Linked DNA regions of Mus musculus. The protein of the gene in region 2 purifies or fractionates together with the protein of the main gene of each other region. This does not show direct contact. Links are inferred from orthologs where the notes say so. Each region holds a gene or a part of one and is shown on either strand. Other genes may lie near its edges. The genes, in order: Plin2, Marchf6 and Sqle.

Region 1 (4,260 bases), on a different chromosome or scaffold from region 2:
TGTTCATCACCAAGGAAGCCAGGACTGGAACTCAAGCGGGTCAGGAAGCAGGAGCTGATGCAGAGGCCATGGAGGGATGTTCCTTACTGGCTTGCTTCCCCTGGCTTGCTCAGCCTGCTCTCTTATAGAACCCAAGACTATCAGCCCAGAGATGGTCCCACCCACAAGGGGCCTTTCACCCTTGATCACTAATTGAGAAAATGCCTTAGAGTTGGATCTCATGGAGGCATTTCCTCAACTGAAGCTCCTTTCTCTGTGATAACCCCAGCTGTGTCAAGTTGACACAAAACTAGCCAGTACACTCCTATAATAAATAATTAAATCTAAAAAAGAAAAAAGAAAAAAAAGAAAAGTTTGGGCGGGGAGCTAATTCAGTGGTAAGGGAGCTCAATACCCAGCCTGAGGACCTGAATTAGATCTGGTATTCTCTGAGCATTGGCACGGCATGCATCTACACACAAATGCATACACACATGCAGACACAAAATGTAAACACAAATGTAATCAAATTTTGTTTTTTCAATCTGCACACGCTGTATGAGAAAGCTAACTCAGGAAACCCCCTTGGATGATGCCTTTGTAATTTCAGTTATTAACACAAAAGTGTTTTGGAAATTTACTTTTTCTTTTCTTTTTGGTTTGTTGTCTTGTCTTGAGACACGTTCTCACTATATAGCTCTGACTAGCCTGGATTTTGTTAGGTAGACTAAAGTGGGCTTGAACACAAAGATCTGCCTGCCTAATTGGACTAACGGCACACACCCTCGAGTATAGGGTTGTTGTTGTTGTTTGTTTGTTTGTTTGTTTGTTTTTCCTTTTTGAGACACTGTCTCATACAGCCCAGGCAGCCTGCAGTTCACTATGTAGCCATGGTCTGCCTTCAACTGACACCTCTTCACCTCCCTTCAAAGTGCTGGGGTGTGAGCACCACGCCTGGCTGGGAAGTTTCTATTAGAGTAATAAGAGTGAGCACCGGTATGGCTGTGAAGAGCCCATCCGTGTGAAGGAAGGTCAGCAGACAGTTTCTGGGTAGAGGAGGGATTGTGCTTCAGGAAGGCCTGGGGGATCCCTGGTGTGACTTAGCACTCACCCTACCCAGTCCCTTGGGCTCAGTGTTGACCGCAGAATCTAGACTCACTTTGTGGCTCCAGCTTCTGGATGATGGGCAGGGCACTTGTCATGGCCGCAGAGGTCACGGTCTTCACGCCCTTCTCGGCCATCTCACACACGGATCTCAAATACGGGTACTGATCCTTTGTACTGACATAAGCGGAGGACACAAGGTCGTAGGTAGAGCTCACCAAGGGCAGGTTGGCCACTCTCATCACCACGCTCTGCAAACACGGAGGAGTGGATAGTAATGACTCAAATCACAAGAAAGGAAAAAGGACCAAGAAACGAATACTTAAAAAAAATCATACCTGTTGCGGATCCACTACTGCTGCTGCCATTTTTTCCTCCTGGAGAAAAGAGACGCCTGGAGAGAAAAGAAACTGGTTTCAGAACATTGAGGACCAATTCCTGTCCCAACCTAGGCAGGCCCACAATTCCAGCATAGACAGTTTCAGTTCCCCAACCCCACCCCTCTAGTTCAGAGCCCTTTTCAAGGCCAACAACCTGACTGGAGGCTCCAGGGCTGTTTACACACTTTCAATAGGAAAGAGTAGTCATTGTCCTGTCTCTTAAATGGGACACTAGAAATGCCTCTGAAATGCCTGTTCTCAAAAATGCTAACCCAAAAGGCAGAAAATTCCATTTAAACAGAAGACATCTTAGATTCCCCCAAACACCTGCCCTTAATTAGTTAATGGATTTATTTCTGTAGGCTTTCTGAGACAGTATTTCTCTTTGTAACAGTCCTGGCTAGCCAGGTTGGCCTGGAACTCACCAGACCTACCTGCCTTTGCCTCCCAAGTGCTAGAATTAAAGATGGCCCTTGCTATACTTAGTCTCTGCCTGTCTAAAGCCCAGGCTGACTCTCTCTACTCTACTTCACTAGTGTTGGTATTAGGTACAGGCCACCATGCCGGGCTCTCAGCATCAGGACTATCAAACTGATACTTGAGGGTGTTTACCACTCTTGTGAACAAGATTGAAACCAGCAGTGGCTGCCTTAATGCTGACTGAGCTCAAGAAAGTCACTCCAGGGAACTGTAAAATCTCCTATCCCCAGTGACCCACACCCACATGAAACTGCCTTCTGCCCAGCAACAGAACCTGTCTAGACTGCTCTGCCTCCAATCCAAAGTCCCAGTTCCTTAGGAAGAACTGTCCAGAAAGCAGAAGCTTCGAGCAGTATCTATACCAAGGAGCAGCCCATAAAATATCTCCTTCCGTTTTCCAAGGGTGAGGTGGGGCTGAGGCAGAGGAGGAGCAAGAGTTTCAGCCCAGCTTGGACCATAGAGAGCCTGCGGGCAGCCAGTGCTGCCTAGTGGGACACTAAAGGAAACCCAGACAATTCTCACTATGCACCTTATAAGTTCTTCTGTGAGGTGTTTCCATTTAAATAAAACCTCGACCGGACAAATGCAAGTTGCTCTACCACAGAAGGACGTGCAAACAGAAAGGAAAACTCTAGAACAAAAGCGAGAGCTTTCCCAACCAGCCCGGGGCTGCTCCCTCCCCCCTCCTCCCCCACCGACCCATTGCTGCAGTTCCGAGCCCAGTGCAGGCAGAGCAGCAGCGGCCTGAGGGCCAGATCTGGTGCAGGACCTACCTAACAGGAGAGCTGAGGGACGAGCAAGTCCGCACGGTCCAGATCACCACACAGCAAAGCGGCCAGAACGACTGTTAAAATATCGCTTGACTGCCCCGCCCAAGCCTCCGAGCCACGTGATAGCCCAGCTGCCTGGGGCCGCTGAACCCTGTGCTGGGCTGGACTGGGACTCTGGGGCCACTCATTGGGGATGAGGGCGTGGGAACCCCAACCTGGTGCCACAATATCGGGGGCCTCCTTGGTTTCCTGAGCCCAGTGCCCTGAGATCCCAGATCAGTACAAGAAGAGCAGGAGCCAGCCGGGGCGAGGCCTTCTGCTGTCTGACTTAGGTCAGGGGTCCTGAAAGCTGCATTGCAAAGATGCAGGGCGTCTTGGGGTTTTGGAAAATGCAGACAAATTAACCAGAGTCTTCAGAAAAGACCACTTCAAAACTGGAAGTTCGGGTTCTAACCTTTTACTTTAAGTCAAGAAAGTTACAAAGATGTGTGGAATTCCAACACGTTAATGACCTGTAGGGACTTCTGGTTTACTGCTCTATGGATGTAAACAATTCATCCATGGGATGTGGCGGCTCTGGTCTGTAATCCCCAGCCAGCACTAGGGAAATTGCGGCAGGAGGATTGTTGTGAGTTCTAGGCCAGAAAAAATACCGTTCTCAAAGAGAGACAACTTATCAAAAGCTTCTAATTAAAAGGTTGATCTGAATTTCCACAAGCAAAGCTTGAGCCTCTCTTCTGTGTTTTCTTTAGTAAAACAATTCCAAATTGCTCCTTAGTGATATCAGCCAACAACTAAGGAAGATGGCCAACTTTATCGTGACTTATGCAATATTTTTAAGTGGTCTGAATCATTTTTTAATCCTTGTCGAGAGGGCAGGGACGTGAACTGGGTTATTTGATCTTGAAAGTTGTACAGCCATCTGGAGTCATAAGGGTTCAGGGAATTTCTTTCCTGGAAAAAGATACAGGTGCAGGCCTTCTAGTTCCTTGCAAGGGAAACTAGAAGGAACAGTTGAAGATAGGAAGGAAGCTCTTGTGCCCTAGCTACATAGATCCCCTGTCACCAGAATATGTAATAAGAGCAACAGCAACAGTGCTGGGCCCTACTAACCGGGGCTTGTGGAAGGTGCCTTTGGAGCTATGGAATTTGAACTCTGGGCAGCACTCACCTCCACGTCAATCATTTCCCCAAAGTTGCATACACACAAGCGCTGCTTACTTTTTCAAAGGTCCAAAGAGCCAAACTGGCTTCATTAATATGTGTGCCTGAATCAATCCATTGCAGGCACTGGAAGACACCACCGTATAATTATAAAGGAAAAAGAAAAAGAAGAAATGTCTGGAAGTCCAAAGATGCTCTGGATGTTTTTATTAAAGATTGTGTTTTACATGCGTATGCATGTATGTATGTATGTATGTATGTATGTATGTATGTATGCCACATCTGTGCAGATGTCATCTGAGACCTTTTAGAAAAGGACATTGGATTGCTAGGAGCTGAAGTTTAGCTGATTGTGAGCCAAAGCACTCAGGAGACTGAGACAG
Region 2 (4,386 bases):
GATCCAGTGCCCTCTTTGGCCACCATGGCACCAGCAGGCACATGGTGCACACACATTCTTGCATTCAAGTCAAAACACTCTATGATACTGTTTTAAATACCCTGCAGTAACTGAGCAAGTAGAATCATTTACAAGCTTTGTGCCACCTTCATTTTATAATGTTTGTCATGAATCTATCCCTTGCAGTTATTTCAAGTCAATTTTAAGTTGTGAAATAAAAAAACAAACAAAACAAACAAACAAACAAAAAACCCTTTCAATTCAAAACTTTACAAAAATGGCCATGAAAACTATTACTATTCACTTTCATATGCCTAAAGAGTTGACTCCTCAGGTAAGGAAAGGTGCCTGGTGGCCTCAATTCAACTCCTAGAACCCATACGGTGGAAGGAGAATACTGGCAAAGGTCTTGTTAGCTTATATTAATAATTCATCCTCCAAAGGAAATGACAAAAACAAGTTACCGCACTCTGGAACACTTGACGAGCCTCATGAACCATCTCTCCAGTTCACTTATGAATAACTACACGGGGTCTGACATGAGTGACTCTTTCTCCTGCCTTTGCCACCTGAGTGAACTTGGGCAAGTTGCTCATCCAAATTAACCTTTAGTTCCTTCACCTGTGTAACAGCAGGTTGCTTCCTTCCAAAACCTGAGAGGTACTACAGTGTTAGTAAAGGGAAAGCACTCTGAGTCCTCACTAAGTGATCAGTTACTTTGAGTTCAATATCCAAATTGATTTTTAAAACATCACTTATATCTTATCCCAATAAAAAAAAAGTACCTTCAAGCACTAGAAGTACCATTTCCTTCATGACATCACACTCAGTTTCTCAATTCCTGAGTTACTAATACCTGTGGTCATTTCATAAATCTGTGAAGTACTAACTGCCCAGGTGGAAAAAAATCAGGTTTTCATATAATATGTCAGTGCAAAGCCAAGTAATACAGATGCTAGATTTAGTCATTAAAACTTAAATCAAAGGAGATTATGTGTAGTTGAGAGCACTTGTTCTTACAGAGGACCAGGTTTTGAGTCCCAGCACACATGGCATTTAACAACGATTAAATACATATGAGCAAAATACAAACAAACTCGAATCAAAGCCAGGCATGGTAGTACAAGATGCTGAAACAGAGGAGTATGGAGAACTCATTTCAAAAACCAAACAAAACAAAGACAGGCACTGAATATAAACGGCTGTGAAACCTACAGAGATGTAAACACAAGATCAACCTGGGCGATTGTTAATCCTCAACAGTTTCTTTCCCAAAGTTCTGCAATGGCAACTAGCTTCACTCATTGAATAGAACCGTACTGTAGCATAATGAAGTGGCAGCGACAAACAATGAAAATAGGGTCAACTGTTTCTTACCACCCGTGTGAACCTTAACCAAGCTATTAAATAAGCCTACATTTCCACAGCCACGAAAGGTAACACACATCCACCCCGCAGGGCTGTCGGGAACGTCAAAGTGAATCAATCCTCCTGTGCATATTTTGTAAACAATACTTTTTTTTAAAAAAAATCAACTCATCACATTATTACTAAACTTTTTATTACTCTAATGACTTCAATACAAGTGCTTGATGGTTCGATTGCATGTAAAGTCGGTAAAATAAAGCCTGAGGTTGAAAAGAACGCTCATTCGAACAAGAATATATCTAAACAGTAAGTATCTGCACTAGTAAGTACATGATCAATAATTTCCTCTACAGACTCACTAATACATCAGTGCCTCTAAAAACTGCTTTAAAACACTTTGCCACAACGTCAGGTAAGCGGCTGCTTTCTACACCCATGTGGCTGCTTTTCTTTCGTGTTCTCTGCTAATTCAAAACAACCGCATCCAAAGTACACGTCCACAAACAAAACAAACAAACCCTTGCTTTGTGGTGACAAGGATTTAGAAGAAACCTAAATATTCGCCTTTCCCTCCTCCAATAGTCTCTAGAAACCGTCCCCTCTCGGGTCTGGTCAGTGCAGTTAGGGTAAGGCAAACAGAGAGCAAGATTTTGCAGCAGGGGTCAGTTCAGTCCACTCAGCAGTCGTCACCTCGCGGGGTATTTTCCGCGAAGTTTCAAAGTCAACAAAGAAGTTGTGTGGCAGAGGTTGGGCCTACAGGACAACAGCAAACAGACTCGAACACGGAGGGGGGAAAAACGAGTGGGGGAGGGGAGTGGAAACGCCCCCGGACTTCGCACTGCGGCCCCCTCCTCCGCGGACCGCGGGATGGCGGTGGCCGGGGCCCCGATCTTCCACACCGTCAAGTCCCCGGCAGCCCCACGCCTCGGGCACCCTATGGTCTCCAGCGCCCCACTTCCCGACATCCCCATGTCTCGAGCACCCCACGTCGCGACACCCCCACGTCCGGGATGTCCCACGTCCCGGCACCCCACGTCTCGGACACCGAAGTCCTGGCACCCCAGTGTCCCAGCCGAGGCTGAGTCCTCGTCGCCCGCGGGAACCGGCGGGGGGCGCGCAGAGGGTCACCTTCCGATCCGAGCCCGCTGGAGGACCAGCTCGAGCCGCGCGCTCGCCCGCCCGCCCGCCCGCCCGCCCGCCGGGCAAGCAAACTGCCCGCGGGATCCGCCGCGAGCGCCTCGGCCCGACTGGAGCGCGGGCGCCGCTGCAAGGGCGCGGGCGCCGCCGCCTCACCTTCCTCGGCGGTGTCCATCTTGTCTGGGGGGCGGCGGTGACGCAGCCGCGAGGCGCCCGCGACCCGGCAGAGCCTCGGGGCCCGAAGGGAAAGGCGGGCGGGCGGGCGGGAGGAGTGGAGGAGGAAGAGGACGCGGGCCGGGCAAGTGCGTGCGCTCGGGTGCGAGAGGAAGCCGGTCGCGGGCGAGGGGGACAGGGACAGCGACTGACAGAAAGCGAGCGCCGGGGAGGGGGGAGGGGCGCGCGGCCGAGCGACGGGCCTGGGCGGGGCGCGCGGCGGAAAAGGCGGGGCGCCGGAGCGCTGCGCGTCACATCCGGCGCGCGCCTTCGCTCGCGCTCGCGCCGGGCTCGCGGAGGCGGGGGCGGGGTGCGAAACACGGCCTGACTGGTGGCGAAGGCTGCGCGCGGGATGGAGACTGAAAACCTAGAGGCAGGCGGCAGGCACCTCGCGGAGGGGCGGCTGCGGCGGCGGCGGCGCGGGCGCGTTCCGGGACAAAAGGAACGCGGAGCGGCGGGAGCGAGCCCGGCGCGCACGCCCGCCCGCCCGCCGGAGCGGGTGTGGGGGACAAAGGGTCCCAGCTTGGGGTACCCGACCGCCACTCCCGGGGCGTTCAGAGTCGGCCCCGGAACGAGCATTTTTGGTTCCGCTCTTGAGTGGTTCTGAGGCACGTCTGAAAGAATTACAGAAGCATCCCTAAGATGGAAAAAGACGAGCATCCAGGTTATCAGAATCTCTCCTGGGGAGGCTTATGCAATTGAGTGGAAAGACCACGTCTTCACAGCTGAAAGCCAACATTGAATCTACCTCTAAGGGAAATGGGTTCAGATGGCGACACAATTAAGGGAAGCTTACCTGGCCAGAACTAAATGGCTGATGAAAGAATGATGAAAGACTCAGACCTGCTCGCATCAGTAGGCCACCTTCCTCACATAATCCTTAGAGCTTTCTCTAAATAAGATAGTACAGATTAGAAGAAAAGTGTTTCCAACCCGGATGCTTAAACGTGCACATAACGGAAAGTAGATTCAAGAAACGGAATTTTGGCCGGGCAGAGGTGGTGCATGCCCTTAATCCCAGCACTTGGGAGGCAGAGGCAGGTGGATTTCTGAGTTGGAGGCCAGTCTGATCTACAGAGTGAGTTCCGGGACAGCCGGGACTACAGGGCTACACAGAGAAACCCTGTCTCAAAAAACCAAAAAAAAAAAAAAAAAAAAAAAGTTATGTGACTGTTTTTGTTTTAACCCCAGGTGTGGGATATGGGGCTGCTTCAGATGGGCCACAACCGTTAACTATGATTGTCTCGTACTCTAGGAGGGGAGTGATCTAAATGGCAGTCTCCAGAGCAGTGGGAGGTGCTTTGAGGAAGAAGAAGTGGGGAGAGGAGGAGGAGGCAGAAGAGAAGGAGGAAGCAGAAGAGGAGGAGGAGGTTTTTGGTTCCTGCTGCTCCTGTTGCTGTTGCTTAATGAGACGTTGGAGATGCCCTGTTGTGGAAGATTGGACTGATCTCAAGAAACTCAATGCCCCTAATGATCAGGAGTAGTCAAAAAGGTCTACATCCCCCTTTCCCTCTAACCTTCCTTCTCTTCTACCTTGATGTACTAGAACACAATAGAATAGACCAAAAAAAAAAAAAAAAAAAAAAAAAAGCCCCCAACAGAAGACAGTCCCTGTAGGTTTGTCTTTGAGATTTCTCACAAAAAAAAAAAAAAAAAAAAAAAAGCTAA
Region 3 (3,413 bases), about 28 Mb from region 2:
AGGCAGTACATAGCAAGTGATATCTCGGGGTTAATGACAGCGAAGTAGACAAAATAGCAGAGAACGATAACTGCCCAGCTCTAGGGCTTTAAGGCTTATTATAAATAGAAAGGCTTTGTGTCTTTTATTTGGGAACTAAATGTAAGATGGGGTAGAAAGCTCCAATTAATATTTACTGCAACAGACAATAGCTTAGAAAAACTCAAAACTTAGAACTCTCTTCCTCTTATTAGTCCACTTTAACTTCCATTCCATTTCGTCCAGATTGGTCTTAGATCACAATGAATGAGTTTAGCAAGAGGGGACAGATGGATAGCTGGAGTCTATGAGAAGCAGTCCCACTTTCTCTGCTAATGGGCACCAAGAAACTCAACCAAGGAGCTTGAAGCATCTCAGATGTTTACCTATTTTTGTCTGTTTCTTTAAATATTTTTTTTTTACTTTGCAAGTTTAATACATGGATTGGGGAGGGGTGCAGATGCTAGAGTATCATTTGTTTTGAAATAAGATCTTACTATGTATGTAGCTCAGGCTACTCTCCCAATCGTCCTGCCTCAGCTTCCTGGCTGCTAGGAGAAGCAGCATGCACCACCACATCTAGCTTAGAATTTTACATTTTCATTATTATGAATGTTGAACCTAGAATGGCCAACTTGTCTATAACGGAGCAAACAGAGCAATGCACATGGCTATTTGCAATGCGAGCCTCTTGTTCACAGTAGCAGGAAAGGAGCTCCAACCTCGGCTAGAGGCGCCTATTCATGCTGTAAATAATGCTTCCAAAGAAACTCAACCACACTGCTTCTCCTCCCCAAAGCTGGCCAGAAAGGCCTTTCACCAACATTATACCACGCGAGGCCATATATGCTCTAGCCTGGACCAGAGGACTCAAACAAATACCTTCCTGAAATACTGCTACGGGTGTTTTCTAAGGAATGCCAACAGCCCCCAGAAGAAGTGGTGGGCGGATACATGATGCTGAGATGTGGGGAATTGCAGGCTGGTCTCCAGTCGAGCTGAGGTCTGAACCCCAATGGTCATAATCTACCTACATGACACGATAGGGGTTCCCTCATGCTCCTGGAACTCCAGCCCCTACCTAAGATACAACCTCCCACAGCCCCCACAAGAGAAGCATGGTCAGTAGTCATGTAAGCAATGGCCCAAGCTTCTGACCTTCAGGCTAAACTCCTCCCCAGTTACCTCTACCACCTCCCCAGTTCCTCTCTTTTCTCTTTTCTCTCTCCTACCCTCTCTCTTTCCCCTGCATTTCTATAATAAGGCTCTTAAACCACAGAGCCTCTGCTCTGCTCCATCAAGGCCCGCTGCGCACCCTGGTCAGTGTTGGGAACGTCTTCCTCTATTCCCTCTCTTCTGCAACCCTGGGGTGCTAGCAAGGTAGCTCCGGGCAGGGGGGGGGGGGTGTGGTCGGCGGCTGCCCCTTTTCCACCCCCACCACGTGGGTCAGGCATGCTCACCCTGGGCCCTGTGGAAAAGTGCCCAGCAGCTCTGCCTGTGTCTGCCTGCCCAGAGCACAGGAGCTCTGGCCGGACCTTAGGCCCCTTTTCCTCCCCCACTTCCCCCAGGCCCACCTCAGGCGTCCCTTTTATTTTGTTCTCAACACTGAGACACCACAAGAACTACCACATGGCAGTGGGTAGTCAGGTGATGTGTGGTTATAGACTAACTACTTTACTAACTTTGGTAATGTAGGTCCCTTATCTGAGAAAACTTAAAAGTCTACAAGTCATTTCACTTAAAACTATCTATACTTACCATCTGTAGCTGAAAATAATTCATACAAGGCCTGAGCCAATACATTCACAACAAAGGAATGGGTCCTTTTTCTTGACCAAAAGAATGATTTTTTGGCCTAAAAATGAAGAATATCATTTATTACAAGTCAGGAGGGAAAAAAGCTTAAGTAAATGTTTATCATCTCCTCAAAAAGTTATCTGTCCCAAGGCCTATCTGCAGGTAATAGTGCCACACTCTTTCAGGGCAATGGGCCACATGACTTTGAAGCTAACCTTATAGCTCAGAGAAGAGTGGGCTGGGCCAATCTGCTGTACATATGCTAAACCATAGACAATAAAAATGCAGTTTGAAAGTCAAGCTTATACCTGAATAAGACTAAGGACCATTATGAACCATAAGCCCCCCCACGCGCACACACGCATAGATTCCCACTGGGCTCCCAGTCTGCTCATTCATCAACAGATGTATTTTGAGCCATTCCGTGGGAGGAAAACTCTAGACTCTTACCTGGAAAATAGCAGCATCATCATAAAGGTCAGGAATGTCTTTTAACAGTTGTCTCCACAATTTTATATCTTTTAAAGCAACTGTCATTCCTCCACCAGTAAGAGGGTGCCTCAGGTTATACGCATCTCCCAGAATAAGGACGCCTGCGGAAAGAGAACTAAGACTATGAAATCCTGAACAGCTTGGAGACAAAACGTTAGTGCTAACAAACCTGTGATTGACAGGAGATAAGATAGCCAAGAGTAAACTCTAATTAAATCTGCTTTCTGTGGCTGAACTGAAAAACTTAGGATCTCAACAAAGCTGATGCCAAAAAACAAACAAACAAAAAACCCTTAAGTTCCAGTGCCTATATAGGATAAAATTAAGTATTAAAAATATTAAACACATACGCTGCCCTGCATGTGGTGTGTGCCTATAATCTCAGCTCTTGAGAGCAGAGGCAGGACAGATGACCGAGGTCATCCTCAGCCGTCTGGTTTCAGTCTGGGCCGTTAAGACCTTTTCTCAAAAAGAAAAGGGGGTAGTGGGGAGGGAGAGGCAGAGGAGAGATGGCTTAGCAGGTAGGAGTGTGTGCTACTCCTCCAGAGGATCTAAGTGTGCTTCCCAATACCCACATCAGGACCATCTGTAGCTCCAGTCCCGGGGATGCTGATGCCCTAGCCTCTGAGGTGTTACATAAACATGGCAAATACACATGTAAGTAAAAACAAATTCTTAGCCAGGCACAACTCCAGCACTAAGAACAGAGACTGGTGATCTCTGTAAATCTGAGGTCAGACTGATCTACGTAAGTTTCAGTCCACAGTGAGACCCTGTCTCCAAACAAGTAATAAGCCTTTAAAATATACATTTAAAACACAACTATATGCCAGCTATCAATCACTACTGACACCTGCCAAAAATGCCAGTTACAGGGATCTCCTGGCGCTCCTAGAAATACTACTGTGTCTCAGGCAGCCTGGGAGCAGGTTCTGCAGACCCTGTTCCTATTCAGTCCCTGCTCCCACTGATCACCTTCATACCCAAGCAATGTCCTCCCCAGCCACACTTCTACTGCAGAACCCCGCTCCCAGCCTCGGACGCCCCAAACAGTGACTCCATGCTACCATAGATGCAGGGGGTTTTGTTTGGTTAATTGGTTTTGG

Evidence for each region.
Region 1: the proteins of Marchf6 (region 2) and Plin2 purify together in Homo sapiens (affinity purification with western blotting; 3 studies listed by BioGRID). This does not show direct contact. The link is inferred for Mus musculus from reciprocal best matches to the Homo sapiens genes MARCHF6 and PLIN2.
Region 3: the proteins of Marchf6 (region 2) and Sqle purify together in Homo sapiens (affinity purification with western blotting; 4 studies listed by BioGRID and IntAct, with this or other methods). This does not show direct contact. The link is inferred for Mus musculus from reciprocal best matches to the Homo sapiens genes MARCHF6 and SQLE.

Annotation. Positions count from the first base shown.
Region 1 is NC_000070.6:86,667,229-86,671,488, forward strand, and holds the start of Plin2 (perilipin-2), read right to left. Parts: upstream 2,832-4,260; 5' UTR 2,717-2,831; intron 2,338-2,716; exon of another isoform or gene 2,218-2,337; intron 1,478-2,217; 5' UTR 1,452-1,477; coding exon 1,422-1,451; intron 1,335-1,421; coding exon 1,139-1,334; intron 1-1,138. UniProt on the Homo sapiens protein: Structural component of lipid droplets, which is required for the formation and maintenance of lipid storage droplets.
Region 2 is NC_000081.6:31,528,142-31,532,527, forward strand, and holds the start of Marchf6 (E3 ubiquitin-protein ligase MARCHF6), read right to left. Parts: upstream 2,897-4,386; 5' UTR 2,681-2,896; coding exon 2,662-2,680; intron 1-2,661. UniProt on the Homo sapiens protein: Endoplasmic reticulum membrane-associated E3 ubiquitin ligase that plays a critical role in mitigating endoplasmic reticulum stress, the regulation of cholesterol and lipid homeostasis, and ferroptosis.
Region 3 is NC_000081.6:59,325,030-59,328,442, reverse strand, and holds part of Sqle (squalene monooxygenase), read right to left. Parts: intron 2,409-3,413; coding exon 2,266-2,408; intron 1,874-2,265; coding exon 1,777-1,873; intron 1-1,776. UniProt on the Homo sapiens protein: Catalyzes the stereospecific oxidation of squalene to (S)-2,3-epoxysqualene, and is considered to be a rate-limiting enzyme in steroid biosynthesis.